Linked DNA regions of Rattus norvegicus. The protein of the gene in region 4 purifies or fractionates together with the protein of the main gene of each other region. This does not show direct contact. Links are inferred from orthologs where the notes say so. Each region holds a gene or a part of one and is shown on either strand. Other genes may lie near its edges. The genes, in order: Inppl1, Lrrk1, Ret, Shc1, Kdr, Prkcd and Ap2m1.

Region 1 (4,523 bases), on a different chromosome or scaffold from region 4:
CTTTGTGGTATTTGGGTCTGTATTTATGACAACAAGAACATCCCAGTAACCAAACCCTGTGTTATGCTTATATTCACACTGGATAGTATATACAATAATATTTCCGTTCTCCAGATGAGAAAACTGGGGGTCAGAAAGGAAAAAAATGATTTGTCCAAGGTCACAGAACAATTAAAAGGTAGGGCTGGCTGGTATCTAATACCAGAGGAGAAGCCAGTTTGTCTGTCAGGGCAGGGGTGTGTCTTAAATGTTCTTTGTGTACATGTAATGTGTAGATAGGTAAGCATGTGTTTGGGAAACCTAAAAAACCACCTACTTCTGATCCCTTCTGCCAGGCTCCTAAGAGCTGAAATCTGCCTCCCTATAAATACAGAAAGACATACACACACACACACACACACACACACACACACACGCACACGCACACGCACACGCACGCATGCACACACACGCACGCACACACACACACACAAACCCCACACTCCTGACAATGGAACCAGGATCTCTTCACTGGGACAATAGTTCCTTACCCGGAGGAGGCCTCAGCTGTCCCCCTCCCACGCAGACAGCTGATCCAGCACCTGCCCCTGTCCCCTCCCTAATTAAGGGATCTGTTTAGAGGTAGCTAGGAGGCAGGAGTCTTGGGATTTTCATGGACATAAGATGTCTGGCTTTAGTCTCTCCACACTAGGTGGGTCTTGGACTTGTTGCAGAAGCTGAGGTTTACAGGATCTCTCCCTCAGCAGGTCAACTGTCTAGGCCAGAGTTCTCAATGTCTACCCTTCTAGCCTTTGGAACCCCCAATTCCTTTGTCGTCTTAGGTACCGTCAAATCTGTAGCAGTAGGTTTGGCTTCTATCCACCAAATGCCCACAGCCCCATCCCAAGAGTGACAATCAAAATTGTTCCCTGTAGGCTGGGCCAGTGCATGCCCAAAGGTGTCAGAAGAAAGGAGGAAAGACAGAGGAAATGGGTCATTTGAGAGTGTTTTCACTAAATCTAAACACAGAAGCCCCTGATGCTTCCCCCCCCACACACACACACACTGTTGAACTGTGGGGCAGGGGGCAGAGGTCAGAAAGAACACTACAAAACAGAAAGCACCCCACTACCACACACAGCTGCCAGGTACAGCCACGGGATCAGGCCCACTCAGAAAGCGGCCAAGTCTACCTTGAGGCTCAGCCTTGGCCAGATAAGCAGAGCTCAATCCAGAGCCAAAAGAGACTTGCTCATTGATTCATGAAGGTTCTGTCCCACATAGCTTCTCCCTGTTGCCTCCCCCAAGTCTTCCTCTCAACACACACTGTTCCACTCCACCCTACAATCATAGCCGCAGAATTGCCCCGGCATCCAAACACTGGTCCCTTTGCTCCCTACTGCCTACCACTCAGTGCTTTAAAACAATCTGCACTCACATGGAGCATGTATCCTTTTCTCCCTGTGCATCTGGGACACTGGGGGGGTCTACGCTGGTATGCCACCGTCTGCCTTAATGTCTTCCCATACACCCACCCTGGGCTTCAGAACTCTGGCCTCAGGCCTCAGAAAGTGCTCCAGACACAGCAGGAAGTGCTCCCCTGTATCCTTCCTCCACCCAACGATAAAGTCAAGGTCTCCACTCACGGTGGAGACAGAGCTGCAGCCCCACAGCTACAGTCAACCCACTACCAGGATTACCACCACAACCAAGGAACACTCTGAGTGTGCCTGCCCTACTCACAGGACGCAGAGTGCGAAGGCCCCCGCCACGCTCTCGCTGTCTCGCACCAGGAAGCTGCCATCGCGGCCTGCCCGAGCTAGCAGCTCCTCCGCAGCCGCGCGGCTCAGGTCACGGTGATACCAGGCAGGGGCCTGGCTGCCTAGCGCGCCCCCGGGACTCGGTGCCCCACACACTGAGGCCATGGCCCGCGTAGGGCTCAGCGCCGCCGATGCCTGCCGCTCCGCGCCATCCGCCCAGGGAAGCTTGGAGTGGAGGCTGGGCCTGGGCCCGGGTTCCGGGCCTGAGGATCCACCAGCCTGAGAGAGCCCAGTATCCGGGGTCCACGCTTGGCCGCGCCGGCCGCCTCGATCTCCGCGCAGCCGCCGCCGCCAGCAGCGCCGGCCTCAACTTGAAGAGAAAGAAAAGTTTGTTCAGAGGCGGCGGGGGAGGGGCGGGAACGGAGCAAGGAGCTGGCCGGTCCCCTCCCCCTCGACTCGGCCCAGAGCCCGGGCCGCCCCTGCCCCCAGCCTCTCGCCAAGGACGAAACTCCGACAGCCCTCCAGGACCCGAACCTCCCAAGTTCCACATTATCTTGTCCCCCACCTCAATTAGATCCAGTTCCCCAGTACCCGCTACGGGACAACTTGTGAGTCCGAGTTCTCCCTGGTGAATTCAACCCTTCCAAACGATTCTCAAGGAGATGACCCCTAATCCCTATGCAAGTCTGATTCTACTACACATTTCTGCTACTCGGCACCCCCACAGACTTGCGGGATCGCGGTTCGCAAAGGAAGGCTCCAGGATAGACATCCACAACTACTACCCCATCATCCAAGAGAACAAGTTCTCCCAACTCCTGTAAGATCAGAGCCCCTTCAGAACTGAACCCCCAAAACCGATCCCTGACACATCTCATAAGATCCCTTCCAAAAAGATCGGATACCCCACCCCACACATACGCGCGCGCACGAGGTCCAGTATCTTTAAGCCTTTCACGCACCGATCCCCGCAGGCCCTCCAGCCTGGCAGAACCCTTCCCCCATCTCCTCCAAGTTGCCTGGCACCACACCCACACCCGCAGGCCCAGGTTTTGCAGTCCCAGACTAGGAGGACCCCCTAGACTACCTAGAAAAAAAGTTCCCTCAAGTCCCAACGCCTCAGCGGCCGAGTGCAGGCCCCCACCTCTGGGGCGACTCTGGTGACTCCTAGCCCGGGGAAGCCTCCCTGGACTCCCCGCGGCCACTTAAGATGGCCATCCGCCGCCACCGCGCACCCCGCGCCTTCCGCCCCGCCTGCGCCCCGCCCCCCGGAGCCGGGGTTGCCCTGCGCCCCGCCTCGTCTGCCCGCGTCCGGGTCTCCGCCGCACGCCCGCAGAGTGACCTCGGGCCAATCTTGGCTCTTCGGTTCGCCTGAGCTTCTCGCTTTCGATAACTGGGGTAACGTTACGAGGGCGGGCTCCTTGGGGCTCTGCCTGTAAAGCTCCAGGCCTGGCACGCAGCGTGCGCTCCGGGACGGCGGCTATTTTTATTATTAATTAAGGAGTAACGAAGGTGACAGCTGTGTAAACTGTAAAGCGCGACTGGGGACTGAACGGGTATTATTAGCACCGCCCCCGCTCCGGCTACTCCCTCCAATTCAACAAACTTGCGCCTTCGCTGGACCAGGTGCGAGCAGGGAGCTCCCGACACCCAGGCTGCTAGGACCTCCCATCCACCTACCCCTGGGGCGGAAAAAGGGACCCGGCGGGAGAAGACGGGGCGGATCCCAAGCCGGCTCTGGCCCGCCCCATTTCCCCCCTAAAAAAAGACCTGGATGGTGTTGGCGTCTCCAAGGATTTCTCTTCCTGCCCCGCCCCTCTGCCCCCTGGCTCCTTAAAGGCGCAGGCCTCTAGCCGCTTTCTTACAACCAGCAACTACTAGAGTCTTGTTAGGAGCATCCCTTTAACCTGGGAGAGAACTTTCGCTTTGGTAAATTGAACCTGTTGACCGAGCCTGGGGTCAGCCCTGAGGAGTTTTCCTACGTTTAAAGGATAAGCCAATTTGCATTGGCTTAACCCAGCTAGAACAAAGCCTGGACGTGATGAGTCTACCGGGACCTTCCAGACCAGATAAATACAAAAACAGAGATCCTCGACCCGCCTACCTGTTTCTCCAGGTCCTGCCAGGGCTTAAATAAAATAACAATCTGTACCCAGCTCCTCCCGCGGGGACTAGAGGACACAGGAAACCCAGAAATCACCCCAGATCCCGGGAGTGTGCAATGGGGGTCTTACTTGTCTATGCCTGTATTCGGGACCCTCAGGAGGCAGAAGCAAGTGAAACTCTACCTAGTTGTAAGCCAGCTTTCTTGGTCTTGTTCTAGAATTTCAGACCGTCCAAGGCAGAGAGAGAGAGGGGGAGGGGGAGGGAGGGGAAGGAGGGGAGGGAGAGGGAGAGGGAGGAGAAGGAGAGGGAGAGGGAGAGAGAGAGGTGGGGAAGGGAGGGAGAGAGGGAAGGAGAGACGAGGAGAAAAGCTGTCACAACCCTCCAAAATCAATATATTTAGAGTTTCCTGAGAGAACAGAGATGCTAAAGAATGTACCACTGGGGTGAGATGGCTTAACCGGTCGTGCTTTTGCCAAGTCTGAAGACTGAGTGGAACCCCAGGGACCCACATAGTGAAAGAAGAGAGCTCCTGCATGTTGTCCTCTGACTTCCACACCTGTGCCAAGTCATCCTTGCAGCCCACACACACCCATGCACACACTCAGAATAAACACAAATGCAGTTTAACCAAAGGACAGGGAGAGGATGCTTCTGCCTCTGGGAAGCCTCTAATGGTTT
Region 2 (4,407 bases), on a different chromosome or scaffold from region 4:
TGCAGATTAGGGAAGAGGGGAGGTCTGAGGCTTTGAGTAAGCCACCAGCTCTGATTCTGGCCACTCAGAAAGGGGAAAGGGCCTGTAGGAACCCTCCTTAGCCCACACACAGGCAGGGGTGGGAGCTGTTCTTTCCTTGCACCCAGGAAGCCACAGGCTAAGGATTGGTCCACAGACAGCCTGAGGTGAGAAGGAGGTTAAGCACTGTGGGAGCAGAATGTGTTATGAGGACTGCACCTGGAAGACTTGGCCTAAGAAGGAATCAGCAGGGAGAGCCAGGTTTTGGCTTTTAGCAGCGGGGGCATTTAGTTCCCAAAGGAAGGACTGAAGGGATTTGAGTTGCCCTACTGGGCAGAACTAGTTAACAGCAGGATAGAATCCAGAGCATCCACTTCCTAGGAAAACCTCAAATCATTGGCTTGCTAGTCAGTTCCCTATTGCCCGAAGTGAGGCCCCGATCTCAGATTAAGGTAAATGTTACAAGTCTCACTTAGCCCAGGGTCACATAGCCAGCTCTGCTTTGTAGGAATGAAGTGTAGCTCTAGCCACCTGCATGAATTGACCGTGACCCAGCAGACTACCTACCAGCTCACTTAGTAAGACACCACCCACCTGACCCCCGACTGCTTCCGGTAGAGGTTCAGGGTGCCCCTGTACTCTGGTTGGAGAGGGTGGCCCCACTCACCTGTCTAGTACATGCACCCCACACATCCCAGCAAGTGCAACTGCACACAGATCGAAGCATACAGGCTAACAGGTTAGAGGCATTTCCTATTACAATCTATTTCCTGGAAGGCATGATGAGTCCCCACTTGGGCAAACGATGTGGTTATAGTACCATGACAGATAATTAATGTGTATTTTTAAAAGCCAAAGGAGGAGGAGGAAGAGAAGAAGAAGAAGAAGAAGGGAGAGGTGGGGAAGAGGAAGAGGAGGAGGGGGAGGAAGAAGAGGAGGAGGGGGAGGAAGAAGAGGAGGTGGAGAGGGAGGAAGAGGAGGAGGAGGAGGAAGAAGAAGAAGAGGAGGAGGAGAGGGAGGAAGAGGAGGAGGGGGGAGGAAGAAGAGGAGGAGGAGGAGAGGGAGGAAGAGGAGGAGGGGAGGGAGGAAGAAGAGGAGGAGGGGGAGGAAGAAGAAGAGGAGGAGGAGAGGGAGGAAGAGGAGGAGGAGGGGAAGGAAGAAGAGGAGGAGGGGGAAGAAGAGGAGGAGGGGGAGGAAGAGGAGGAGGAGGGGGAGGAAAAGGAGGAGGAGGGGAAGGAAGAGGAGGAGGAGGGGGAAGAAGAAGAGGAGGGGGAGGAAGAAGAAGAGGAGGAGGAGAGGGAGGAAGAGGAGGAGGAGGGGGAGGAAGAAGAGGAGGAGGGGGAAGAAGAGGAGGAGGGGGAGGAAGAAGAAGAGGAGGAGGGGAGGAAGAAGAGGAGGAGGGGAGGAAGAGGAGGAGGGGGAGGAAGAGGAGGAGGAGGGGGAGGAAGAGGAGGAGGGGAGGAAGAGGAGGAGGAGGGGGAGGAAGAGGAGGAGGAGGGGAGGAAGAGGAGGAGGAGGGGGAGGAAGAGGAGGAGGAGGGGAGGAAGAGGAGGAGGAGGGGGAGGAAGAGGAGGAGGAGGGGGAGGAAGAGGAGGAGGAGGGGGAGGAGGAAGAGATCTCAAACACTCATGTAACAACCTGGGATTTGAAGCCCCTCTGGGATGTTCCATCTTCTTTGGTTCATGCTGGGCTGGCAGTTAACGGTGCTTTAAGAGGTAGGTAGCTGTTTCACATCTTTCAGGGACAAGGGCAGGACCCTCACACAAAGATGGGTCTCTTCCAGCACCTCCCCATACCTTCAGCTGTGTAGGAAAGGCTGAATTATCTGGAAGTTTCCTAGCTGATGTACTTTCTCCGGGTGCCTCACCTTAACTGGTAGAGCAGGTTTTTCCACTCTAGCTGGTCTGGGCATAGAAAAGAACGTGTCATGTTTGGCAAAGGAATTTGTCTCGTTCTAGATTCTAGCAGCTCTGGCCTAGCAGAGGTAAGGGCTGGCTGCCTGCTCCTCCTGCCAATCATCTGAAATGCACGAGTCTCTCTAAGATGGCTCCTCCACCTTCTCAGAGCCCCCCTCTGACATCCTCATGAGACTCATGGTGATGCCGCAGTTTGCTCTGTGCTTGCAAATCTATGAGCTGTGAAACCATCCTAAACACATACAAGTCAAGCTAGGTAGGGGCTGTGCAAAAACGCAGGACACCCATGAATGCAAGGCGTAAGATACCATTTCCAAAGAACCCTGGAGTTTAAACTATGTGTTCAGTTAAAGTGTGAGCCTTTTTCTTCAAAACCATTCATGCCAGTATCAAGAATTTGGCCATCTTGAAGCATGTTTTATTCTATACAGGGGTCACCTAAGGCTATCGGGAAACAGATTTTCACATCACAATTCATAACAGTAGCAAAATTACAGTTACGAAGCAGCAACAAAAGTAATTTCATGGTCGGGGGGTCATCACAGCATGAGGAACTGTATTAAAGGGTTGAAACTTGAGGATGGTTGAGAACCACTGCTGTAGTGTGAAACTCAAGTCCTTAACCACAGAGAAACAGACTAAAGGAGCAGGCACATCACCGCCTGTGATGCTGTTGGCGCAGGGAGATACTAGGTGAACCTCTTTTTTATAACTTCTCTTTTTCTCTTCTCAGTTTTTCTCTGGTAAGCAAGCATTTTTATAGTGTAAAAACAAAAAGGAATCCTCGGTTTTTTAAAAAAAAATCCCTTAACTTATATGATGTTAAAATCTCTGAAAGCATAATAAATTTTGTACATGACCTCTCAGTTTTAGGAATTTAAGTGAGAATCCCAAGATATAGAAAAAGCACCAAATAATCCTAATTTTATTTTCTTTGGTTGAAAATACCTGTTCTTAGGGAGCCTAAGCTCCTTATAGACCAAGCACAGCACAGTCCCTGTGGACGTACCACTTACCATTATGGGTCTCCATGGCAGGCCCTGGACACACAACTGATCCTTCTGTCCCCACACACCAGTACATACTGGGTGGTCGCTGTGACACGGCAGCCATCAACCCTCCAGGCAGCAGATCTCCAAAGGAAAGTGTTGCTGTTGTCACCACAACTGCCACTGTGCAGATGGGTTAAGGCACGGACACCTGCTCATGGTGCCGCAGACACACACGCTCGTCCTGGTGGAGAAAGACATCGAGTTAGAAGGCTTTCAGACTCGTCCTCTCTTGCAAGCCCTTGTAGGTGTTCCCCACTGTCATTGGCTTCCCCCCTTCTCTGCACATTTCTCCATAGTCCACATGTCTGAAAGGACAATGACCCCTCCCATCCCACCTTGACACTGGGCCCAGATCTTGTCTCTATGAAAACAAACTAAAAGCTGTCACTGAGCTTCACTGGCTGTGCCCATTTGTCGTTCACTCCACACTTAACCGCTGTCTCTTGCACTGTCTCTGCCAGGCCCTGTATGGGACCCTGATGCCGCCCAAACAGCAAAATTGAGGCTCCCGTTGGGAGGATTAACACTTCAGGTGGGGTAGGGTGGGCGCACGGCTGCTCACGGTGCAAGGCCATCCCTTGCTCAGGACTGATACCTATGGTTGCTCCAAGTGACAGCCAGATAATGGCCCCAAAGAAAAGGAGTCTAGAAGGAGTTGTTACTGGTTGTGACATCAAATGAATCCTGTAAACATTGCCTCTCTCTGAGGGGACATTTGACCATATCTAGAGATATTTTGGGTTGTCACAACTTGGGGGAGGGGGTGTTATAGGCTCATAGTGAGTAAAGGTCAAATGAAGGCATAGTGTTTTTGTGCACGGTGTAAAGGTCACCCATTGTCATTCCAATGCTGATTTCTCTGCCCTCATATCTTGTTTTAATCTGGACACAGTATTATAATGCTTATACCAAGAATCTCCTGTTTCAAGTTTATGTAAACAATTCTTACCAATTAGTCTCTGCCTTGTCAATAAATGCTGATCACCCAATGGCTGGGCAGAAGAGAGAACAGGGCAGGACAGGATGTCCACCAGCCAGAGGAAGGAGAGAGGGAGAGGGGGAGAGAGGGGGGGGAGAGAGGGAGAGAGGGAGAGAGGGAGGTAGAGAAGGAGGGAGGGAGGAGGGAGGAAGGTGGGGAGGGAGGAAGGTGGGGAGAGAGAGAGGCAGAAGGGAGAGAGGGGGAGGGAAGGAGGGAGAGAGGGAGACTCAGAGCAGTGAGTGACTGGAGGAATTGGAGCCATGGAAAAGGGGCCCAAAGAGCCAGATCAATAATAATATCCAAGTATCATGGGGTGGGGCTGGGAGGGAGCCACACTAGCATAGAAAGTAAAGATAGAGCATTTACTGCTCATCTACTGAGGCACAGTTTTCAATAAATATTGGTTTTCCTGTGTGATTATTGGTATAAGGTAAGGAAAAGC
Region 3 (3,769 bases), on a different chromosome or scaffold from region 4:
CAGGATGGCCCCTACCCAGCTCTCCTCCCCCATCCTCCTCCCCAGCCCCATCCCACCCCCTGCCAGCTCCCGAACCTACCTTTACCATCTCCCTGACGCCACTCACATCTGCCAGTTGGAGAACCCAGGCCACCACACTCCTCACACTCAGGTCGCCTCTTGTTTACTGCACAGGACTTGGGGCAGCCCACTTCTTCTGCAATGTCTGGGAGGGACAGACAAGCCAAGGTCACTGGGACTGGTGTGGGCCCAGTCTCCAGACCTCTGAAACGGACAGAGTGTAACAACAGTTCCACTGTCCATGGGTTCTGGGGTAACTAGGGTATTTGTGAAAGGGACTGAGGCACCAGAGCCAGAGGCTCTCATTAGCTCCTGTCTGCTGAGCCCTTCTGGTAAACATAAGGACAGGAGGATATGACGGTGACCACAGCAAAGGACACCTGGTATTGCCGGTTCACACAGAAGTGTTCCCTGTGATTGTCCTTGACATCTCATCCCTCCACGGAGCCTGACACTTACATGTCCCCTCCACTGTGACGACTAACGAAGCCTGGGTCTGCCTGCGGGTCTGCCGGTCAGTGGCTACCACTGTGTACTGAAGCTCGGTACACTCAGGTCGCCGCAGGGCCTCCGTGTCATTTACATATAGGGTCCCTGAGGTGTCTTCTGTTGAGGTGACCACACCTAGGGCACTGCAGTTGGTGCTGGAGGGCTGCAGCTTGTACTGGATGGAGACACCGCTGAACTCCTGGCAGTTCTCCACGCAAACTTTCCCAATCTGGAGGGGGGAGAGGGAGGAGGAGGTTCGAACCAGTACACCTTAGCTGGATGGGCTCTTGGGTAGACCAAGTTGGGGGATGGCCCTCAACTTAGCTTGAATGGTAGTCTTCCTCGATGTCCAGTGTTCTACACCTCAGCACCTACAAGCCCACCTGCCTGGTCAGCCCTGCTTAAGGACACCAACTCGCCAGACACCCACACCACTGGGAGTCAGCCGGGATGGCCATAATCCCTGTTGTGTGTCCCCCAACCGTCAGAGCACTGTACCCTAGCTGAGTGACTGCAATGTTGTCATCTGTCCCACTTGAGGTCAAGCGGCCTCTTCAGAGGTTCTGGAAAGAGACCCCTTCTGGGGATGCCTGGCTGAGTCAGGTCCTGAGTCTTTACCTCACAGCCACTCCAGTGAGCTACGGTTGCTAAAAGCTGCAGAGGTAGTTCTGGTTATGGGGCCCTGTGTCTGTGTGTAGTGACCTAGGAGGCAGCTTCTTAAGAGCCAGGAGCAAGGATGGGGCTTCCCGAGCCACACTGACACCCTAAAAAACCAGCCTCCTGGTTGCTTCATTTTCCCCTACAAAGAATGTTCATTTCCATCTTCTTAACAGATCCTTAAAACTATCCGAGGTCCCTGGCCTCGACTTGCTCTTCAAAACTATGGAGACAATAAGGAACCGGTCACTATGAGGGCAGTGACTGGGGCTCTAGAATCTGCTAAATGCAGGGATCTACCTCCAACTGATGCCTTGAACTCCTCCTCAGGCACTTCACTCTGTCACCCCCACTCCTGCCCTGATGGTCACACCCTGGAGAAGGGCCAAAGGCTCTCTCTATCTACAGGTGTGTCCTTTGTGTGCTGGTAATGGGAGCAGTGAGGACCTGGAACCGGCTGTAAGAATTGGAACGACCACAGACACACGAGGAGACAATGCCAAACACACACCCTAAAGCCGAATCAGTTAAACCAGACACACGCGAACCACAAATGAACTGAATGCAACAGACACCGTGAGCGCATGAGAACCACCAAGTTAGAACTGCAGCAAATGCTCTCACTGGTGGTCAAGGGGTAGGGGGCACCCCCAATTCCTCATGATTTTAATTAACGCCATGACTTACCTTCCACTCTTCGTATTTTCATTTAGTTTAGCAGTGCTGAGGATAGAACCTAGTGCTTGCTAGGATGGAGACACACACACACACACACACACACACACACACACACACACACAGAGAACTACGACTCTGGTCTTCTACTTTTCCATTTCAATTATCATTTTCCAAAGACAAATCCGAACATTACCTCATGATTTCTCTAGCACATAAACTTCTAAAAGCAGGTGTAACCTCTGCCCTTTCCCACAAGGCACTACTGCCAGCCACAGTCTGCTGTACGCTAAAGTTACCCCCAACTGAAAGGTAGTTTGTGCTGGTGGAGACACCAGAGAGAGCAGTAGTCCCTCCAACCACTTTTTGCACTGAACCGTACAGCAGGAACACCTTTCTAATTAGGCATACACAGGGTTACATGGAAATGCATTTCTATTAGGGCAAAAAATGTTTTAAAGATACCAAGAAGTGAACCAGTAAAATCAGAAGGCTTGCTCCAGGCACTGATGAGGGGCTAGGAGCCCTCTAGGGTGAAAAGGTATAAACAGAGGTTCAAGGATACACTTTGGAGCCTACTATGGACCTACCTATGCTAACTCTGCACGGGTGGGCTAGTGAAGAGGTGCCACTCGCCCATACCCCTGCCTGTTGTCTTGGAAGCCCCTAATCTCAAGTCATGCAATGGGCCATGGGCTCACCTGGGCATAACGGCGGGCTCTCCTATTCACTGGGAAGGAGTAGGCCATGGGTAGGTTCAGGGTGACAGGCAGCACAGACACGTTGAAATGGAGGAAGAGAACACCTGACCCAGGCCCCTGGAAGTCTGAGTCATTGACCAGGACTACTAGCTGCAGGACTCGGCTCTCTGAGATGGACAGGCTCCTGTTGAGAACCAGCTCTGTAGGTGGGCGCACAAGGAGACGAAACAAGTTACTATCCTTCAGGACCATGCCCTATGCCACATACTACACATCCATACCAACATACAACCCTGCACACACATGTGTGTGTGTGTAAAATTAGCATGTTAAATGGGTTTGTGTATAAGGTATTTGGATAGTGTTTGTATACACAGACTGTATAGCCTGGAATGGTTGTGCTCAGTGGGACATATTTTGGTGTGTATGGAACGTATGTGACTTTCATGTGGTGTGTGTGTTTGTGTGTGTGTGTGTGTGTTTGTGTGTGTGTGTGTGTGTGTGTGCGCGCATGCACGCATGTGTGTGCGTATGTAGTATGGGGTGTATCAATTGTCCTGTAGTTCTAAGAAGACATCACACTGTCGGCTCCTTACTGTAATTGTGCATGGTTGCCCGCACGGAGTTGTTGTTGGACTGGACCAAGGTCTCGTTGGGTGTGTGCTCCACCCGGAAGGTCTGCTGGGCCCAGGAATCCCCTGAGAGTAGTGTGCTTGTGTACCGCCTCACCAGCTCCCCAGATGCTGGCACCACATCTGCATCAAACACCTGCAGAGTGGCTACCACAGTGCCCTGCAGGTAGCAGAGAGCACCAGTCAGCCCAGGTACAGTCAGAGGACCACATGACCTAGCACAGCCCAGAACTATACCAAGTACGCTTTGTTAGAACCAATCCTAGGGGGAGATGATCAGAAGCGAATGTTTGTCCCCAGAGCCTCAGGTGAGAGTTGTGAGCAAAGCCACAGGGCCGCTGGAATCACTCTAAGGTTGTCTGATAAGACATTTTCTTCCCCATACCTGCTCTCACTCCCTCGGAAGCCTATACCTAGTTAGTTCCCCGAGAGAAGCAACGTCTTTCTTACCAAGCCTAGAAGCAGGCTGCAGAGTGGCCTAATGTCCAGCAGGTGGCAGTAGCATGCCACCTAGCCGGTTGAAGCAGCATGGGTGAGGACATCCTCTCATAGGGC
Region 4 (4,509 bases):
AACATGAGGGCAGGAGCCCCACCCCAGCCCTTCCCAGCAGGATAGCCCTATCGAGTATAACTGATCACTTGCTTCTCAGAGAATTGGTCCCACCCAGTGCTGTCCCCCACGCCTCACCTCTCTGATTCACAGGGTCTTTGGCAACATAGGCAACGTACTCAGCTGTGTCCTGGGGAGGGCAGATCCAGGAGGCCAGTTAGCTAGAGTTTACCTCCTGACCCACTAACTCTGTCCTTTTTACATATTTCACAATCCTTGTGCACCACTTCTTTAGCCAGTATTTTCTCCCTCCCTCTTTTGGTTTTTCAAGAAGGATTACTCTGCATGGCCCTGGCTATCCTGCCTCTTGAGTGCTGGGATTCTTGTGTGGCCACCACTCCCAGCCTCTAGCCAGCATCATTTCAGCCCCTAGTTTCTTCTTCCCCACCCGTCTTTTCTCTGTTCCCCAACTCACCGGATCCCCACCAGACGCGAATGAGATAGATTGCATGTGATGGTTGGCAATGATCTGATGAGGGCAGGGTGGAGAAGGAAGGAATGGTAAAGGTCAGGCAGCCTCAGGGCTCCACGTGAACCCACCCCAGCATAGAACCTTGGAGCCCCGGGATCATTCTCTTGGCCTTTTACCCTGCATTCTCCTAATTTCTTTCTTCTTTTGGTGGGGTGAGGCACAAGGTCTCACTATGTAGCCCTGACTAGAACTCAGATTCCTCTGCCTTGGCCTCCTGGGTGCTAGGATAAAAGGTATCACTATACTCAACCTTCCTAACTTCTTCCTCTTCTACTCTCCAGTTCTTCCTGAAGACTGCAAGTTTTTGGCCTCCAATCCCCACTTGATGCTCCCATAACTAACTATCCCTGGTTCCTTCGAGCAGCCTACCCACCTGTTTGCAGTCTGCTGCCATGAGGTTAAGGCTGCTGGTAGACACAGTGAGAGTGATCGGCATTCCAGCAAACTTCAGGTTACTCCTTCCCAGGATAGAGCTGAGTGGGCGGCTGCAGGGCTAGGAAGGGCCCAGAGTCTCAGAATCTGAGTTTTCCCAGCATAAGGAAATACTCACCTTCTCCCGACACGCCCTGCACATGCCTTCCCCTGCCTCCAATCACCCAGCCCCAACACCAACCACACATACCTTTCTCCTCCTCATCGCCCCTTTGGCACCAGGCACAGCTTCACACACCAAACTGATAGCCTCCCTGGAGAAACAGGAGTACTCAGACCCACCATGGGCCTCCCCCTGGCTAGGGCTGCCACAGAGCTGGGGGAAGGGAAGACCAGGCCAGATTCCCAGAGCACTCCAGGCTCTTTGTCGTGGTGGATTGAATTAAGGGCCTTTAATATTTGATGACACTGAGGGGCCGCTTCCTGGCTGATTGGGTTAGGGCCTCAATGGCTGCAGCTCCACCTCTTCCCAGCTCCCGAATGTTCCATCTCCTTCCCTAAAGCATCAGCAACCTCCTACCCCTGCTGCCTTTTCTAGTCCATCTTCCCACAGTCTCCAAGGCTGGATAGTTAGGTGAGGTGGTGCTCCACACCAGAGCTGGCTCCTTCCAGTCAGAACTACTTCTGTAACTTTCAGTTCTCTGACCACCCACGAGAAATCGCCATCAGCACCACCACCAAATGCCCAACTTCCTCCTCTCCCTGGCTGAGATTTCTGTAACTTCAATCCCCACTAACCTGGTGACCTGAGTCCGGGTATTGAAGTCAAGGGCTCGCATTGACTGTAAGACCTCCACGCAACCCATGTACTGTAGGGGAAGGAGGGAAGAATGGATCAGCTGTCCCCATCCCCCACCCCACACTTGCCAGCCCTTTGCAGAAGGTTCTAGGGCTTTGCCTTATCCCTAAGGAAAGTAAAGGTGAAGTAGCTTTCCTACTGCCTGGGGCTACCACCCCATAGGTGTACTGTGAAGGGGAAAGGGGAAAGAGGAAAGAAAGACCGCAAAGAGGAACTTCATGCACCACAGAGACATTATGAGAGGAGTAGCAGGTATTGGGTAGGATGGAGTGACATCTCTGGAAAAAGGAGGAGTCTAAAGGGAAGAATCAAGAAGTCATTTTCATTCAACTTTTACCAAAAGCCTCTGATGTGCTTGAGCATTGTGTAAACTGGGGAGTGGGGACCAAAGGAGGAAAGGCAGAAGATTCGCAGGCTAAATTAAGGGCAGAGAACTGGAGAAGGAATGCACCAGGTTTAAGAACTAAGAGAATGGCACAGATGTTCCAGGGGGAAGAGCAGGAAGTCCCGACAAATCTGGAGGAACTGGAAGGGGTATGGGGAGAGTAGAAAAGGGGATATGCACTCACCCGAACCAAGTAGGAAACCCCAGGTCCCATGACTTTGTCGTTGGGATGCAGCCAGCCTCGTGTGGGCTTATTGACAAAGCTCCCGTGTCTGGTCCACTCCTCGCCCCCCAGCTGGCCCCCTTCTACCCGAGTCCTGCGCCCGCCGCCTCCACTCAGCTTGTTCATGTCCTGGAGGAGGGGCAAGAGGCCTGAGTCCCGAAGGGCTGCTCCTGCACTCCCTTCCCCATCTTCTGCAGCTTTTCCTGGCTCCCCTTTAGGTCCCAGGCGCCCCCCAGCAGGATTGGCCAGCTTCAAGTTGCTCATCCGGGGAAAGAAGGAACACAGGGTAGTCGGGCTATCGTCCCCCGGCAGAGGAGGCAGAATGGGTCCCAGGGATGAGGCTGATGGGGAAGGCAGCTCCTCCGGTGGAGTAGACCCTGAAGCCCCCTCCTCCAGCGATGACAGAGACTCATTCCGAAGTGGGTTGTACTTCGGCTTGGGGGGTAGAAGATCCATGGCTGGGGTGAGAAGGGGGGCTGCTGCCCGGCCCGGCCCCCCTGCCAATTCAGGCAAGGGGGCCAGGCAGGGGGCATCCCCAGACCCTTAGCCTAGTCTGACCTCGGCAGCCGGGTGATAACAGAGGACCTGGGGAGGCGAAGGACAAGTGACCTCTGCTCTCCCAACTCAGACCTAGACAGTTTCAAACCACATCCTGGCCCAGCCCAGCTAGGAAACCTCGTCTGGCTGAGGAGTACAGGCTGGACCCAGAGCTGACTGGCTCCTCCCCAGGGGCGGGGAACTAAGGAGAGAAACCAATCCCCAGGACAGTGCTGACTCACAGGCTCAGAGGGGTTGAGACACCTCCCCACATAATTTGTGTTAGCCAGGCCACTCTCCCCAGCCCAATACAAACAACTAGTGATCTGTCTGGGAAGGAGGAGGTGCCGGGCAAGAAAGAAAGGAAGAATAAGCAAAAGAGAAAAAAGAAAGGAAGGAGTTAAGGAAAACTCTGGACCAATCCAAACAGACCTGGGCAAGCCAAAGAGAGCAGGAAGACCGGGAAGACTGGGAGGGATAGGAAGGAAACAGAAGCTGCTGGGCGGGGAGTGGGGGGAGGGAAGTTGTCCCTCAGAGTTTAGCATTTCCTTTCCAGACCCGGCTGAAGACGTGAATCCCTCACCCCCTAGCCCAGACCACCCCCACCCCCACCATACAGTGAGTGAGGTGGTAGCTCCAGGGAACCTGGGCCATTAGCATCCACCCCAACAGCTGAGGACCAGAGTTGAGAACCAGGAAGGGAAGTAGTCCCAGTGGATGTACTGCGAGGCCCAGAGGAAAGACAAAGCTGAAATAGGAATAAAGGCTAATTCGGGTGGTGCATCTGGGAGCTACCAGACAAGAGCTAGAGCAAGGCTGTTTCTACAAGTCACCAAGGACCAACAGACTTGGGGGTGGGGGTGCTCTTCCAGAGGCCTAGTGAGGAAAGCCCCCAGAGGATATAGAGATCTGGCCACCCCTTAGACCTACAGATATACTTTTACGCCTTATAGGCTACACACCCCACCAGACAGTGTACTTCACACTAGTAGAGGAGTTGGCCTTGGAGGTAGGAGAAAGAAACACACAGAACTGGTGCCTACAAGCCACAAAGGGATAATAGGGCCATAAACAAATCTGTGTTAATAAAGACAGGAAGGAGAAAGGGATATCAGAAGCTGGAATCTGGCCATAAGTGCATAATAATACCAAACCCCTATTTCTTTGCCCACAGTTTCCTGCCACAGCTCTGCTGAAGGCCATTCAGGAAGTTAAAGAAAGTGACCAATCAAAATAGCTCCGGATTAAACTATAGCTTTATTCACTTTTTAAAAAGTAACCAAACACAAGAAGTAAAAGGTACTTTTTTGTTTGTCTGGTTTTTCAAGACAGGGTTCGTTTGTGTAACTACATTGACTGCCCTAGAACTTGCTTTGTAGCTCAGGCTGGCCTCAAACTTACAGAGAATCACCTGCCTCTGTCTCCTAAGTAGTAGCACTTAAAGCAGGTTAAATATCATGCTTCATTCGTTCACCTGTCCTTAGTCCCCATCCCAGAAAAGCTGTTACTGAACACCACGCCTCTTCCTTAAAAGAAATTCTGTCATTCCGTTTGCTAAGACCTCAGCTCTTAGGCACAAGAGGAAAAAAAAATCTGCCATAGCCTTACACTCCCAATCACAC
Region 5 (4,554 bases), on a different chromosome or scaffold from region 4:
CCCAGCATTCTGATGAATGAGACAAGAGGACGGCAAGTTCGAGGCTAGCCTGGGCCACACAGTGAGACTCTGTCTCAAAAGAAAAAGAATAACTAATTAATACCAGGCAGGGCTCCAGGCTTTCTAAGCCACCCTGACTAAGAACAGATGACTCCTCAGGCCTCAGCTGGCATTGACAGTGTTGGGCAAATGAGTGAGCGGGAACAAATATGAGGCCACTAATGCAGTATGAGCAAACAGCCAAGGCAAACACCCGGTGCCGTGACACTGTGGCCCTCTGAGAACAAGCAGAGCAGGCCGTTCACTGACTGTAGCGGTTCTCGCACACCTGCACAGATGTGCATAACGGTCTACAGCAATTCCACCCTGAATACACCCAACCTAACCGGATGTACATATGCTGCTGATATAACCGTGGATTTATTCATTAATTAACATTTTTCAAACGCTGGAAATTAAATGGCATTTAATGAATCTCAGAAGTTAGTTGGCATTGTTAATAACTCGTGTGTGGACTGTGAGTCTGAACCTCATGGTGTGTTTATTCCTAGACCAACAAATAGGGGTTTTTAAATGGCATCGAAAGTGACTGTATCACAGGTGCTCTTGGTCCCCCCCACCCCGAGACGGCTACAGAACTGAGCAATTATATTCAATTAACCGGCATAATATTTGTCCATATCAAAGAAGTTACTGTCCCTAACATAGGCATGCAATTAAAATGTTCATAGACAAGCCTTTGAATGATGGAATCTTACTTTGTTTGAGAAGTGGGAGATAAAAACAATTTGTTTGATAAGTAGATTTTAAACATGACTGAGCAGCATTAACCTGAAGACAATCACTGGCTACACTCATGGGGTGAACCCATTATTCAGGCAGATGGGTGAGGAAAATGTGGTAGTAAGCTGCGCCCACTCTACCACCACAGTAAGTGACCTTTATTCTTCAGTGGGGAAGCGAATGCAGAGCCTGAGCGCTCTACCGCTGATCAACACGCTACAGCCACTCAGAGCCGCGCTACTGTCTCTGTCATAACACACAGCCATAGATGCTCTTAGAGGGCAGGCGCATTAGCTCTGCTCATCTGTAAAAGATGCCCCATTCCCGAGACACCAAATACAGCACCATAGTATCCAAGGGATGTGTCTGCAATCAAATCTAGTCAACGAGGTTATCGATAACTGGAGATTTACATCAATGGCTAATGATCCCTCTCCCCCTTATTAAACCTCATTCATTTTCAATGGCAAGTTTGGGTTCTGTTCTTTAGAAAGCTCCTTCTTACTGTAAGAGGTACATATGCTGCTACTCAATAAAAGCCCTTTTATGTTCAAATCCGATAACCAACATTAATTAATTTGTGCACTGTTATCCTTCCCACTCAAAGACCAGAAGGAAAAACAACAGCGGCTCTGTCTCTAGACTCCGATGGCACCAATTATGGTCCAATCCAATTAAGAAAGTCACACACTCCAAAAGGGCAACCTCCGTTTAATTCAGGGAACCAACCAACGGGCTACTGTTAAACTGCTACACTAGGAACACTCCAGGCTTCACAGCAACTCACTTCGCTATGGGACCCAGGGCAAGCACGTGTTCTAGGCTGCCTTTCTCGTCCCAGAAAGCGGGAGAGTGAGGCCTTGTCAGGAACAAATGGGCACCCATGATGGAGTTAGCCTGGTGAACCAAGTCATTATGAGGAAGATTCAATAACTGTAGACAGATGATCCTGGCGCTGTACGTCAGCGCCAGTGCTTTTAAGGCATGCGATTTTCTTCGGATATAAGGAATGTTTCTGCAGAATTGACTTTTTTTTTTTTCTGACTCTCCATTCTCCAATGGATGGAGTCTGGGAAATCTGCAAACTGTGGCTACAAAAAGAAAATGAGAGAGAAATAGAGGAGGAAGAGGATGAGGAGGAGAAGAGGGGAAGGAAAGGAGGGAAGAGAAGGGAAGGGGTTGCACAAAAGCCCAAGAGCGAGTGAGAGCCTAACCTTGAAACACAGGGCATCTTTAAACAGTAAAAATGGCCTATATCTAGGTGCCAAACTAAAGAGTTTCTGAAACTTTCAGAAACTCAGAGTTTACCCCAGGACCAAACACTTTGGAGTAGTAAGTGGAGAGTTACTTTAAGATACCTGGAAAAGCTACCATAGAAGAAGCCGCTTCCTCCTGCCAGCAAAGTGGCATTCTGCACCAAAGAAAGTTGGGTAGGAAAGTGTTGCTCTGTGAAGAGCGCACATAGTGAGCTTACCCGCTGGAGCTAAAGCAGAGCGGAGCGGGAGGCTGGTTCCCTGCTCCACTCAGGGCAGCAAGCAACAGCCTGCGTGCTCGATGCCAGTCAGGCCGCCCGGCTTGCACTGGCTTCCCGGCATTTGACTGCCTGTTCCTGCCAGTGGGAGCATCTCCTGCCCCGGCGCAGGGCGCCTTCCCACTCCCGCCTACCCAGCGCCAGGGGTTGTGGGCTCCGCAGGACACGCTCCAGCCAGAGCCCGGGGGAGATTAGAATCCTGGCTGAGTCATTTCGGAAGAGTCTTTGAACCTCAGTTTCCCGGTTGGTAAGTGAAAGAACACCAAAGGACGGGTCTCTAGAGCTCTCCGAGTTAGGTCCTCTTCTCTGTTATCCCCACTCTCCGCCCGCACCCTGCTCCACCTTACTTCTAAAGAGTGGGCTCCTTACCCACAGAGGCGGCTCGGGTCTCCACGCAGAACCACAGAGCGACAGCTAGCAGCGCCCTGCTCTCCATCCTGCACCTCGCGCTGGGCACAGATGCTTTCTCGGTCCCTGGCCGGCAAAGAAGTCACAGAAGCGGTACGCGCTCCTGCAGTGCAAAACCTGGGAAAGCGCAGGGCACCGGCGCCCTGGCTCCAGCCGCAGCTGCAGCAGTGTCGGCGGACACGGGTCAGCCAGGTTATCCCGGCTGCAGGACACAATCTGGGCTTTCAGTCGTGCGGAGTAGCGTTCCGGGCGATCTAAGGAGACACAGCCTACTCTCTTGGGGTCCTGAGGACTCAGTGCAGAGAGCCAGCGCTGGCTAAACACTAGAGAATGGGGGCGGGGTCATTACCGGGAGGGGTGGGGACTCCCTGCGTCCGGCCACGCCCCTCGCTGGATACCAGGTTTGGGTTTCCCGGTTTCCCACGCCCACTCCCCCACTACCCCGGAACTGTGCCGGGCTGCAAGTCCCATCCGAGAGCAAATCTGGACGCAGCTCGGATTCTGGTGGAAGTAAAATGTAGCCAATAAGGGGCTCTGAGACACTTGCTGCCCCCCAGCAACCCGGGAAGCATCACCAGAAACGCAAGACCGGCTGCGCCCTCATTAGGTGCCTCCAAGTGCAGAACTCTCTTCCCTGCTGCAGCTGAGAGCCCCAAGGGACCAAACCTCCGCTTGCAGGTTGGAGCATGAAGATAGGAACCCTGGACCTAGATGTATCTGGGGCACCAACTTTCAGTGAGTTGGTCAGTACTTGGAAGTTTTGTTTAATGGTGCTCTGGCCAGTGCAGCCATAGTTTTAACTCCCCCGCCCCCCGCCCCTGCCCCCCGCCCCCTTTGAACGCTTTAATTAAAAGATAGGCTCTTATCCAGGTTGCCAATGCCCCTACTGTTTTCTCGTCCATCTGGCAACTTTAGATCTTTTGAAGTTACCTGCCTAGCCCTAGAAGACATTTCGGTTGTGAACTCCTGCCTGGCTTTGTCCAGATAACTGCAGCAGGAGATCCAGGTTGCTGAGGGTGATCAGGGCTCCAGGGCAGCTGCACAGAGAAGAGCGCCTATCCTCCTCCAGTGGCTGCTAGAGTGCTTTCGTCTACCCAGCTCCATGGCCATGGTTCCCTACAGAAACTTTGGCCAGGTTCCTTTCCAAAGCTGACCTTTCAGCCAAGATAGGCTTGGGGGGAGAGAAGGGAGCATTTTCAGGGGTGTCAACTGTGGGAGCAGAAGCGAAAGCGGTCCCTGCGTGAACAGTTTTTTTCAACTGTGTGGCTTTCTTTCCATTCCTTCCACGCCTAGGAAATGACAATAAATACCTTGTAACAACTTTTACTCCTGGCATTTATAATGATAGTTTAAAGGACAGTCTTTCAGCCGGACAAAGGGATAAGATTATTGTCTTTACATCCAACCGAAACTACACCGATGTGCGCCATTAATGAAACACGATGCTTTTCTTTTTTAAAGAAGGGAGATAAACAGTGATTCTCCTTCATCACGAACCTGCCTGAGCCTGAAGTGTGGTGCCAGACGCAGCTGTCGAGCCCAGGAGGCTTTTCAAAATCCAGGTTCACTATAAAAATGTTTCAACACATTTACACATATACACCTATAAGGTGAAATTAAGCTTGAAAAAATATGGGAATGTTTTGTGTGGGCATTTTCCTTTTAGTGGGGACATGCACAGTCTATGCACGTTTCGGTGTGTATACTGGGCTCCTCTTCTCAGGAATGAAAACTCCATTTAAAAGTTGTTTGGCGTCTTCTTTCCCTTTACGGTGTACATGGACAACATTCTGAAGGTTCTGCCTGGTTCTTCTTATCCGCGTTCCACTGTG
Region 6 (3,599 bases), on a different chromosome or scaffold from region 4:
ACAGTCTCAAAAAAAACCAAAACAACAAAAAGATGTGCAATTATAGCTGTCACCTCTTTGCCTTGTACCCATTTCTCAGATGAGGATTTTGAGGCTTAAAACAATCAAGGGCATGATTTTGAGGTTTGAGTCCTATGCCTAAAATCTTTGTCTTTTTTTCTTCATCTCCCTGCCTAATCTAGGGCCAGACTCTAAGTCTTTTCTGAATTATTTTTAAGACAGGGTTTCTTATAGCCCAGGCTGGCCTCAACACTTTCTGTGTGGTTGAGAATGAACCTAAACTCCTAATCCTCCTGCTAGCACCTCCCATACGTCAGGTTTACAAATGTCAGGTTTATACCCTGCTGGGATGGGGCCTCCCGCGTGCACTCGAGGCAGATGCTCAACCAACAGAACTACATCCCTCACGCGTGCATGCGTGTGATGGCGCTGGAAATGGGACCGAGTTTTACGCACACTAAGCAAACACTAGTATTGGGACACACGCACAGCCGTGTGCCCTGCTCCGACTTTCAGGCCTGGCTTTCTGCCTCTCTGAATTCTGGGCTGGCCCTCTCTACCCAGAGACAGGTTACAACCAGTCTCACCTCTACCATGACCCCGCGGTGACATCTGTGGTTCCTGCAGTCCCGGGGCCCTGGAGCAAAAGAACCCCCTAAACACAAACACATTTGCATGAAGACCCAGGGGTACGCCACTGCAGTCGACAGTGGCAGGAGCACCTGCCACCAACTTCCTGGGACATAAATGTCCCCACAGTCAGGTTGGTACCATTCAGTGTTTATTTATACACACATAAACAATCCTGTGGTTCAGGTAGCTTGTGCTCTCTTTTTCTTTTGGTCATATATACATACATACATACATACATACATACATACATACATACATACATATATGTATACGTGTGTAGATGTATACATACACACGTATACATATGGTTTTTTTTAAAAAAAGGTCAACACATCACCAGTCTCCTACATGCTTTCTATACTGAGCAATATATACAGCCTATTATATATATGTGCATATATATAATATATATTTCAATAACTACATTCAAGTAATGACACACAGGATTTACAGTTTCCCTCCGATGGCAAAAGGAAGGCAAATTCACAAACAGTTCACAGAGGAAGTACTGTGAGCCCAGCCAACAGGAGCCAGACTCTCCGAGGAAGAGGGGGCAGCAGCAGGAATCACCAGTCACCCACTCTTCTTCATGGGCAGTGCGGATGCAAACCAGGGCAGATGGGCCTACTCTGCCGGGGCATTAAAAGCAGGTCTGGGAGCTCACTATTCCAGGAATTGCTCATATTTGGGGTTCACAAAGGAGAAGCCCTTGAAGGCTGTCTGGTCCATAGAGTCGATGAGGTTCTTGTCACTGAAGGAAAGTTGGGGTTTCTCATTCAGGAACTCTGGGTCAAAGTTGCTGTAGTCTGAAGGGGATTTCTGTGAGCAAAAAGTAGCAGGGGGTCAGAGTGTCTCCAATGTCTGCCTTCAAAGGCATGCCAGGTACCCAGGCTTCTGGACCCTTGTCGTGCTAGCCAGGGCAGTCGACTCAACGGGGAAAGAGGATGTCACCAGCAACCCAAGGACAGTCCCATCACAGGGGAACGCTGTTTCCCCAAGAGATGAGGAAGGGAGGCAGGGTGCACTGGGTAAGTAAGGACAGGGACATCCTCCAGAACAGGGTCAGTGAACTACAGCCTGCAGGCCACACATCTCCTATCTGCTCTCAGTGGAGGCCTATGAGCTAAGAATAGCTTTTTTTTAGAATAGCTAAGAATTTGCTATTTTTGGTTGGTTGGTTTTAGTTTTGGTATTTTTGAAACAAGGTCTCATTATATAGCCCAGGCTGCCTACAAATTCATGATCTTCCTGCCTCACCCTCTCAGACACTAGAACCACTGAGCACCGCCACTCATAGTCCAGCTCTACAATTTGAAATGGATGGGAGAAGAAAAGACTATCCAGTGGCATATGAAAATGAAGTCAAATGCAAATGTCTGTGCCCACAAATCAAGCTTTATGACTACACAGCCGCACTCATCTGCTGAACAAGGAGTGGGGCTGCACTGAGAGAGGGGCCTGCAAACTAAATATTTATTCTCAGGCTGTTTATAAGAAAAGTTCCTAATTCACTGCCCCTGAGGACTGCATAAGATGGTAACGGGCTTCCGGTGAACTCTGGGCCACACTGAGCTGGAAGGTACAAGCACTTGAGCTAGCATTTGGGCTAGCACCTGAGCTAGCATTTGGGCTAGCATGCTTTGTCTGGTAAACTGTTAGGAATTGGATCAGGAGGCCTGGTGTTAAGCTCCACAGTGGAACTACATGTCTCGCCCTCAGTGCTGGGGTCCATAGGCTCTAAAGCAATATTGTTTAACACAGAACTTCAGATTTCTGGCTTCTTTTGAGAACTGGTGGATTAGGGGAGAAAGAGCACGTCCTTCTTTCTTCTTACCATACATCAGAGTCCCAGAGAGAATCGCTACTACTCCATTTGCAGAAAAACAGGCTCAGAGACATCAGGCCTCACTCTATGGCCAGAGATTTGATAGGTGAAACATTGGAATCTGGTTTTTGTTCTTGTTTTTGCTCTTTCAAGATGGTTTCAGGCAACTGAGTCTGGCCCTGAACCCCGGCTCTTCCTGTCTCTCCCTCCCAAGGCCTGGGGTCACAGCTATGTCCTACCATGCCTGGTTCTGGTCTTTGACTTTGACGGACACCGACCTGTCACTGAGCTACACCACACCCCCTGGGCTCACTTCCTGTCAGGCCAGCTCTTAGGGCTGAGAGCCCACTGCCCTGCTCACATACCTGCCCTGCCCCCAGGGGCAGAGGCCGCTCATCCCCACACACACCTAGCGTGTGGAGGAAGAAACCTCTTAGAGCAAGAGCCATGCGCTGCTCTTAAAGCTGGGCCAGCTTATCCCCCTGGTCAGGGAGCCTCTGACTGTGAGACCCACATCGGGAAGGGCTCTGCTGTCTCAAAGCACAAATGTGGGGCATGCTACAGAGATGGCCCAGTGGGAACAGTATGTACCAACAGAGGACAGAAAGCAAGTGAGAGAAAAGGCAGCCAGAGGAGGAACTATGACCACAAAGGGGACACTGTGCCCTAACTTATTTTTAAAAGCCAGGATGCTGCTGTGACGCCTGGTCTTGAAGTTGAGACCGGCCTGTCTCCACTGAGCATCTGATCACAGAGCTCTGAGCAGGTTCCTGCTTCCCAGTGACATCATCTCCCAATCTCAACCAGTCCCGTGGCTGCTGAGGATGAGGCCCCGATACATACAAACAGCTCGCTACCTGGATGCTTTCTACCTGACAGCTGAGCCCTACTCCCATATATCAGTTCTTTCGAAGCATCCTCACAGACCACTCTGGTCCCTGCAATCCTGGTTCCTATTGCTCTTCTCTCCCGGAAGCAACCCACACTGTGTGCCCTGTGACATCTCCCATATTGCTGCCCTCCATCACAAGTGTCACCAGTGTGCCGGCATCTTGCTGGGGTCATCAGGATTTAGGACTTCTTCTCACCCTGCTAAAGCCAAGCACAGTGCTCTGCACCCAACAAGGACTCGGCACGTCCT
Region 7 (3,414 bases), on a different chromosome or scaffold from region 4:
CTGCTCTGCAGTCTGAGGTGTGGGAAAGCCTTCGGGTTCCTTATCTCCTGAGAACTTTGTTGCTGGGGACCAAACAAAGGAGCTTGCTCTCCAAGGACAGAGACGGTCTTACTATCGATGCCAAGACTAACCAGACAAGGAGGACTTGGGGAGACAGTTAGCAACTCCAGCAGAAATGAACTCCAAAGGGAAGCTGGAGTCCACTAGGCCTCACTGGACTCTCAAAGGCTCGCCCATCTTTGTGTCCCTTGACCTCCCAGCCTCAGGTACCTCTTGCTTGTTTCATCGGCTGTGCCTTTGCCCTGCTTTTCTATGACAATCTTGTCATTCATTCCAAACTTGCACTCAGGCATGCCGCTCAGGTAACTCTTCATCACCACCCGGCCCGACACATGGGCACTCAGCACCTGCCCTGGTGACAGAACAGAGAACAGGGAGCAGCTGAGCCACCCGGCAGGCCAGGACTCACCCTCACCCCCTCCCCAACCCCCCCCCGCCCCCCGTCTCCTCACACACACCGGTTTCGTCATGAGAAGACACTCACCCTGTGGGGACATAAGCAGGTTCACACTCTCCAGAACATCTAGGAAGAGTTCATTCCGACGATACTTGATGCCTTCCCGCCTCCAGCCAATTTGCCCGGTCACCTGGCTGGTGATCTGGGACTGCTCTTCTTTTGTCTAAATGAGGTAAAGGTGGCCGATGACCTCACCACCCCCCTCCCATGACCCTCTCCCCAGGGTCTCACATCAGCCTCCCTCCTGTTCATCACTCTGTAACTCGGCAAGGTCTACAGAACGAGTGAAGCTGCAATGAGAAACACGAGGAACAGCTTACCTGATGCTAGAGACCGCAGAGCCAGCAAGGTGCAACAGGAAGCAGCGTGGTGAGGAAGCAAAGGGAGAGAGCTATGAGGCTTGAGTCTGAGGAGAAAGCCCATGTGCTCTTCTGAGGAACACAAGGCCTGCAGAGCAGCCACACCCACACCCTCCACGGAGAAGAAACCAACTGAGCTGTATTCCTCGTAATAGAGGTGCTGAGCTGGCAGCTTCTGGGGCAGGAGAGCTATCCAGAGCAAAAGAGGCCTGCAGTCATGGTAGGAGGCTGAGGCTAGCACTTCCTGTCAAGGGCAAGCTCATGAGTCAGCTAGAATGAGGCTGGGCATCATAGGAAAGAAAGGAGTTTGAGGCCCACCCTACTTCTGTTCTATACAATTAATTTAAGTACCTGACTCTTGATACCCTGTTGGGTGATGAAGGTTTTCAGTGCACCTGTCTCTGAGTTCTGTGGGTAGCCAAAGTCCAGAATCTCTGTAAAAAGAAGGGAATTATAGCCTAGCAGTGTGGTATAGTCCTTTAATCCTCACACTCAGGAGGCAGAGGCAGGTGGCTGAGTTCAATCAAGACTGGCCAGGTCTACAGAGCCAGTTCCAATACCACAGGGCTACACAGAGAAACCCTGTTTCAATAACAAAAAGAAGGGAACTACTAGCTTCTGGAGAAATCGAAGGCTCCTTCATTCCAATCCTTCCTCTGGCCTGGATATGCCTGTGGAGCACAGATCCTGGGGCTGTGCAGAATTGTCTATATCTACAGCAAGGTTTTCTAGCTTCCAGCATTCAGCATGATTTGTTCTTCATGAGAAAATATGTTTTTCATATGTAAAAAAAATTCATAGAAGAGTCACATGGTCAGTGGGTAAGAGGATAAAAAAAACCCTGAGCCCTCCTTTTCTCCAGAAAACAGATGGTGATAAAAGGGAAGTAGTTACAGATGCTACAAGAGAAAAGAGCACAGCCAAGGGACTATCTAGGACTTCCTCTCCAGGCCCTGGAGGAGTGGAGATGAGAGCTGGCTCTGTCTGTGAAGATGGTTGCTCAGCCACCAAATCTCACTCAGTCAGGTTCTTAGCCCAGCGAAGGCCAAAGTCTCCTCCCCGCACCCGCTGGCCTATTTTTGAGTTCTACTCTAAAACAATCTTTAGGAATGGATTCAGACTGGCTGCATCAGGGACACAGAGCTCATCACCTAAGAGGTCACAGACTCAAGCAATAAAGTTCGGAGTGTGCTGCGAGCTCTAGATTGCTCCCTTTTGGGTCAGTCCCCACCGCGGCCATCGGTCCCCAAACACCTCACCGTCCAGCAGCTCGTATATGAGCACGAAATTGTTCTTGATGTTCTCCTCGCTGATCTTGCCAAAGTAAGCAGCCATTACATCACACATCTTGTAGAGGAATTCGAAGACCATGGCGGCATTGACATTCTGCTTGGTGACTGCTGCCAGCCAGATGTTGGACCGCTTAACATGGAAGAAGCTGGTGCGAGCGATGTTTGTGACAGGGCTGCGCACCTGCTGCCGTGCGTGAATGACATTGACGCGAAAGGCATCCACTGCATTCCTCCTACGGGAAGAGACGCAGAGGCGGTCAGCACTTAGGCAGACCTCACCCCATGAGGATCACCTGCAGCTGCTGGCGGCCTCCCCTCCACGTCACCGAAACCTGACCTCTCTACAGGCTTCCCTCTGATACCCCAGCAGGGTCAGGAAGGTTCTGCACTGGCCTGCTCCTGAAGGGGGAGTCAAATGGTAACTATGGAAGGGTGCGTATAGTGTTAATAAACTGAGCCCTAGCCCTGTCTTTACTTCCCCAGATACACCCAAGATGTCCCCTCTCTGCTTTCCAGAAGTTCCAGGCCCTGAAGAGAAGGAGATCTCTACTGGGCCCACCAGTGGGAAAAGCCAACTCCTCTGGTAGTTGGACAAACTTGTATGACCTCAAGAAGACTCTGCTCTAAAGGGGAAGAGGGGCTGTGGACTATGCCACCCACCTCTTCTCTAAGGTCTGATTCCTGAAGTTTAGGGAATAAAAAATGATGAAGGAAAACAATTGGAGGGGGGAGGACCCCCAACCCACTTGTACCTGAGCGGCAGCTTCACAGGCTGCTTACCTATTGCTACATCAGCCAATGAGATGGGATGAGAGAAATGACGTCAGCGAGAGGAGAGTGACAGCAAGGAGAGAGAGGGTTAGACGACACACAACACACCACGGTGGGCAGCACAGAGCATGAGGGAGAGGCGGACAAGACAGGCAACAGGTAGAGAGCACACTAAGGCATGCGGGGTGTCATGTGGCCCAGCGGTGGCATAAACCAGGACCATCCAGGGTGGGAGGAGCAGGAAGGGATGGACCAGCCAGGTTTACTTAGGCTAGGCACTGCCACAAAATCTAGGTCAGCTTTACCACCAAAAAAAAAAAAAAAAATAAAATAAAAAAAAAAAAAAAATATATATATATATGGATACAGCCACACCAAGCTAGCCCATCAGCCAGGGAGGCAAGAAGGTAGGAGAGCTATCAGAAGTCTCTATTTATCTCAAGGGTTTTTTTTTTGGGGGGGGGGGATAACCAAG

What was found.
Region 1: the proteins of Shc1 (region 4) and Inppl1 purify together in Homo sapiens (affinity purification with western blotting; 4 studies listed by BioGRID and IntAct, with this or other methods). This does not show direct contact. The link is inferred for Rattus norvegicus from reciprocal best matches to the Homo sapiens genes SHC1 and INPPL1.
Region 2: the proteins of Shc1 (region 4) and Lrrk1 purify together in Homo sapiens (affinity purification with mass spectrometry; 3 studies listed by BioGRID and IntAct, with this or other methods). This does not show direct contact. The link is inferred for Rattus norvegicus from reciprocal best matches to the Homo sapiens genes SHC1 and LRRK1.
Region 3: the proteins of Shc1 (region 4) and Ret purify together in Homo sapiens (affinity purification with western blotting; 4 studies listed by BioGRID and IntAct, with this or other methods). This does not show direct contact. The link is inferred for Rattus norvegicus from reciprocal best matches to the Homo sapiens genes SHC1 and RET.
Region 5: the proteins of Shc1 (region 4) and Kdr purify together in Homo sapiens (affinity purification with western blotting; 3 studies listed by BioGRID and IntAct, with this or other methods). This does not show direct contact. The link is inferred for Rattus norvegicus from reciprocal best matches to the Homo sapiens genes SHC1 and KDR.
Region 6: the proteins of Shc1 (region 4) and Prkcd purify together in Homo sapiens (affinity purification with mass spectrometry; 3 studies listed by BioGRID and IntAct, with this or other methods). This does not show direct contact. The link is inferred for Rattus norvegicus from reciprocal best matches to the Homo sapiens genes SHC1 and PRKCD.
Region 7: the proteins of Shc1 (region 4) and Ap2m1 purify together in Homo sapiens (affinity purification with mass spectrometry; 3 studies listed by BioGRID and IntAct, with this or other methods). This does not show direct contact. The link is inferred for Rattus norvegicus from reciprocal best matches to the Homo sapiens genes SHC1 and AP2M1.

What each region holds. Positions count from the first base shown.
Region 1 is NC_086019.1:165,606,539-165,611,061, forward strand, and holds the start of Inppl1 (phosphatidylinositol 3,4,5-trisphosphate 5-phosphatase 2), read right to left. Parts: upstream 2,911-4,523; 5' UTR 2,884-2,910; intron 2,348-2,883; coding exon of another isoform or gene 1,931-2,347; 5' UTR 1,905-1,930; coding exon 1,723-1,904; intron 1-1,722. Other genes in the region: uncharacterized protein LOC103691225, read left to right, coding at 1,931-2,347, 2,911-3,114. UniProt on the Homo sapiens protein: Phosphatidylinositol (PtdIns) phosphatase that specifically hydrolyzes the 5-phosphate of phosphatidylinositol-3,4,5-trisphosphate (PtdIns(3,4,5)P3) to produce PtdIns(3,4)P2, thereby negatively regulating the PI3K (phosphoinositide 3-kinase) pathways.
Region 2 is NC_086019.1:129,380,084-129,384,490, forward strand, and holds the start of Lrrk1 (leucine-rich repeat serine/threonine-protein kinase 1), read right to left. Parts: upstream 3,048-4,407; coding exon 2,951-3,047; intron 1-2,950.
Region 3 is NC_086022.1:153,020,016-153,023,784, forward strand, and holds part of Ret (proto-oncogene tyrosine-protein kinase receptor Ret isoform a precursor), read right to left. Parts: intron 3,375-3,769; coding exon 3,179-3,374; intron 2,783-3,178; coding exon 2,583-2,782; intron 779-2,582; coding exon 520-778; intron 206-519; coding exon 80-205; intron 1-79. UniProt on the Homo sapiens protein: Receptor tyrosine-protein kinase involved in numerous cellular mechanisms including cell proliferation, neuronal navigation, cell migration, and cell differentiation in response to glia cell line-derived growth family factors (GDNF, NRTN, ARTN, PSPN and GDF15).
Region 4 is NC_086020.1:177,137,053-177,141,561, reverse strand, and holds the start of Shc1 (SHC-transforming protein 1), read right to left. Parts: upstream 3,015-4,509; 5' UTR 2,807-3,014; coding exon 2,312-2,806; intron 1,753-2,311; coding exon 1,682-1,752; intron 1,198-1,681; coding exon 1,134-1,197; intron 1,005-1,133; coding exon 885-1,004; intron 509-884; coding exon 455-508; intron 170-454; coding exon 118-169; intron 1-117. UniProt on the Homo sapiens protein: Signaling adapter that couples activated growth factor receptors to signaling pathways. Participates in a signaling cascade initiated by activated KIT and KITLG/SCF.
Region 5 is NC_086032.1:32,570,512-32,575,065, reverse strand, and holds the start of Kdr (vascular endothelial growth factor receptor 2 precursor), read right to left. Parts: upstream 3,004-4,554; 5' UTR 2,751-3,003; coding exon 2,684-2,750; intron 1-2,683. UniProt on the Homo sapiens protein: Tyrosine-protein kinase that acts as a cell-surface receptor for VEGFA, VEGFC and VEGFD. Plays an essential role in the regulation of angiogenesis, vascular development, vascular permeability, and embryonic hematopoiesis.
Region 6 is NC_086034.1:5,774,922-5,778,520, forward strand, and holds the end of Prkcd (protein kinase C delta type), read right to left. Parts: intron 1,453-3,599; coding exon 1,297-1,452; 3' UTR 760-1,296; downstream 1-759.
Region 7 is NC_086029.1:93,862,088-93,865,501, forward strand, and holds part of Ap2m1 (AP-2 complex subunit mu), read right to left. Parts: intron 2,402-3,414; coding exon 2,136-2,401; intron 1,311-2,135; coding exon 1,228-1,310; intron 858-1,227; exon of another isoform or gene 844-857; coding exon 838-843; intron 681-837; coding exon 545-680; intron 413-544; coding exon 271-412; intron 1-270.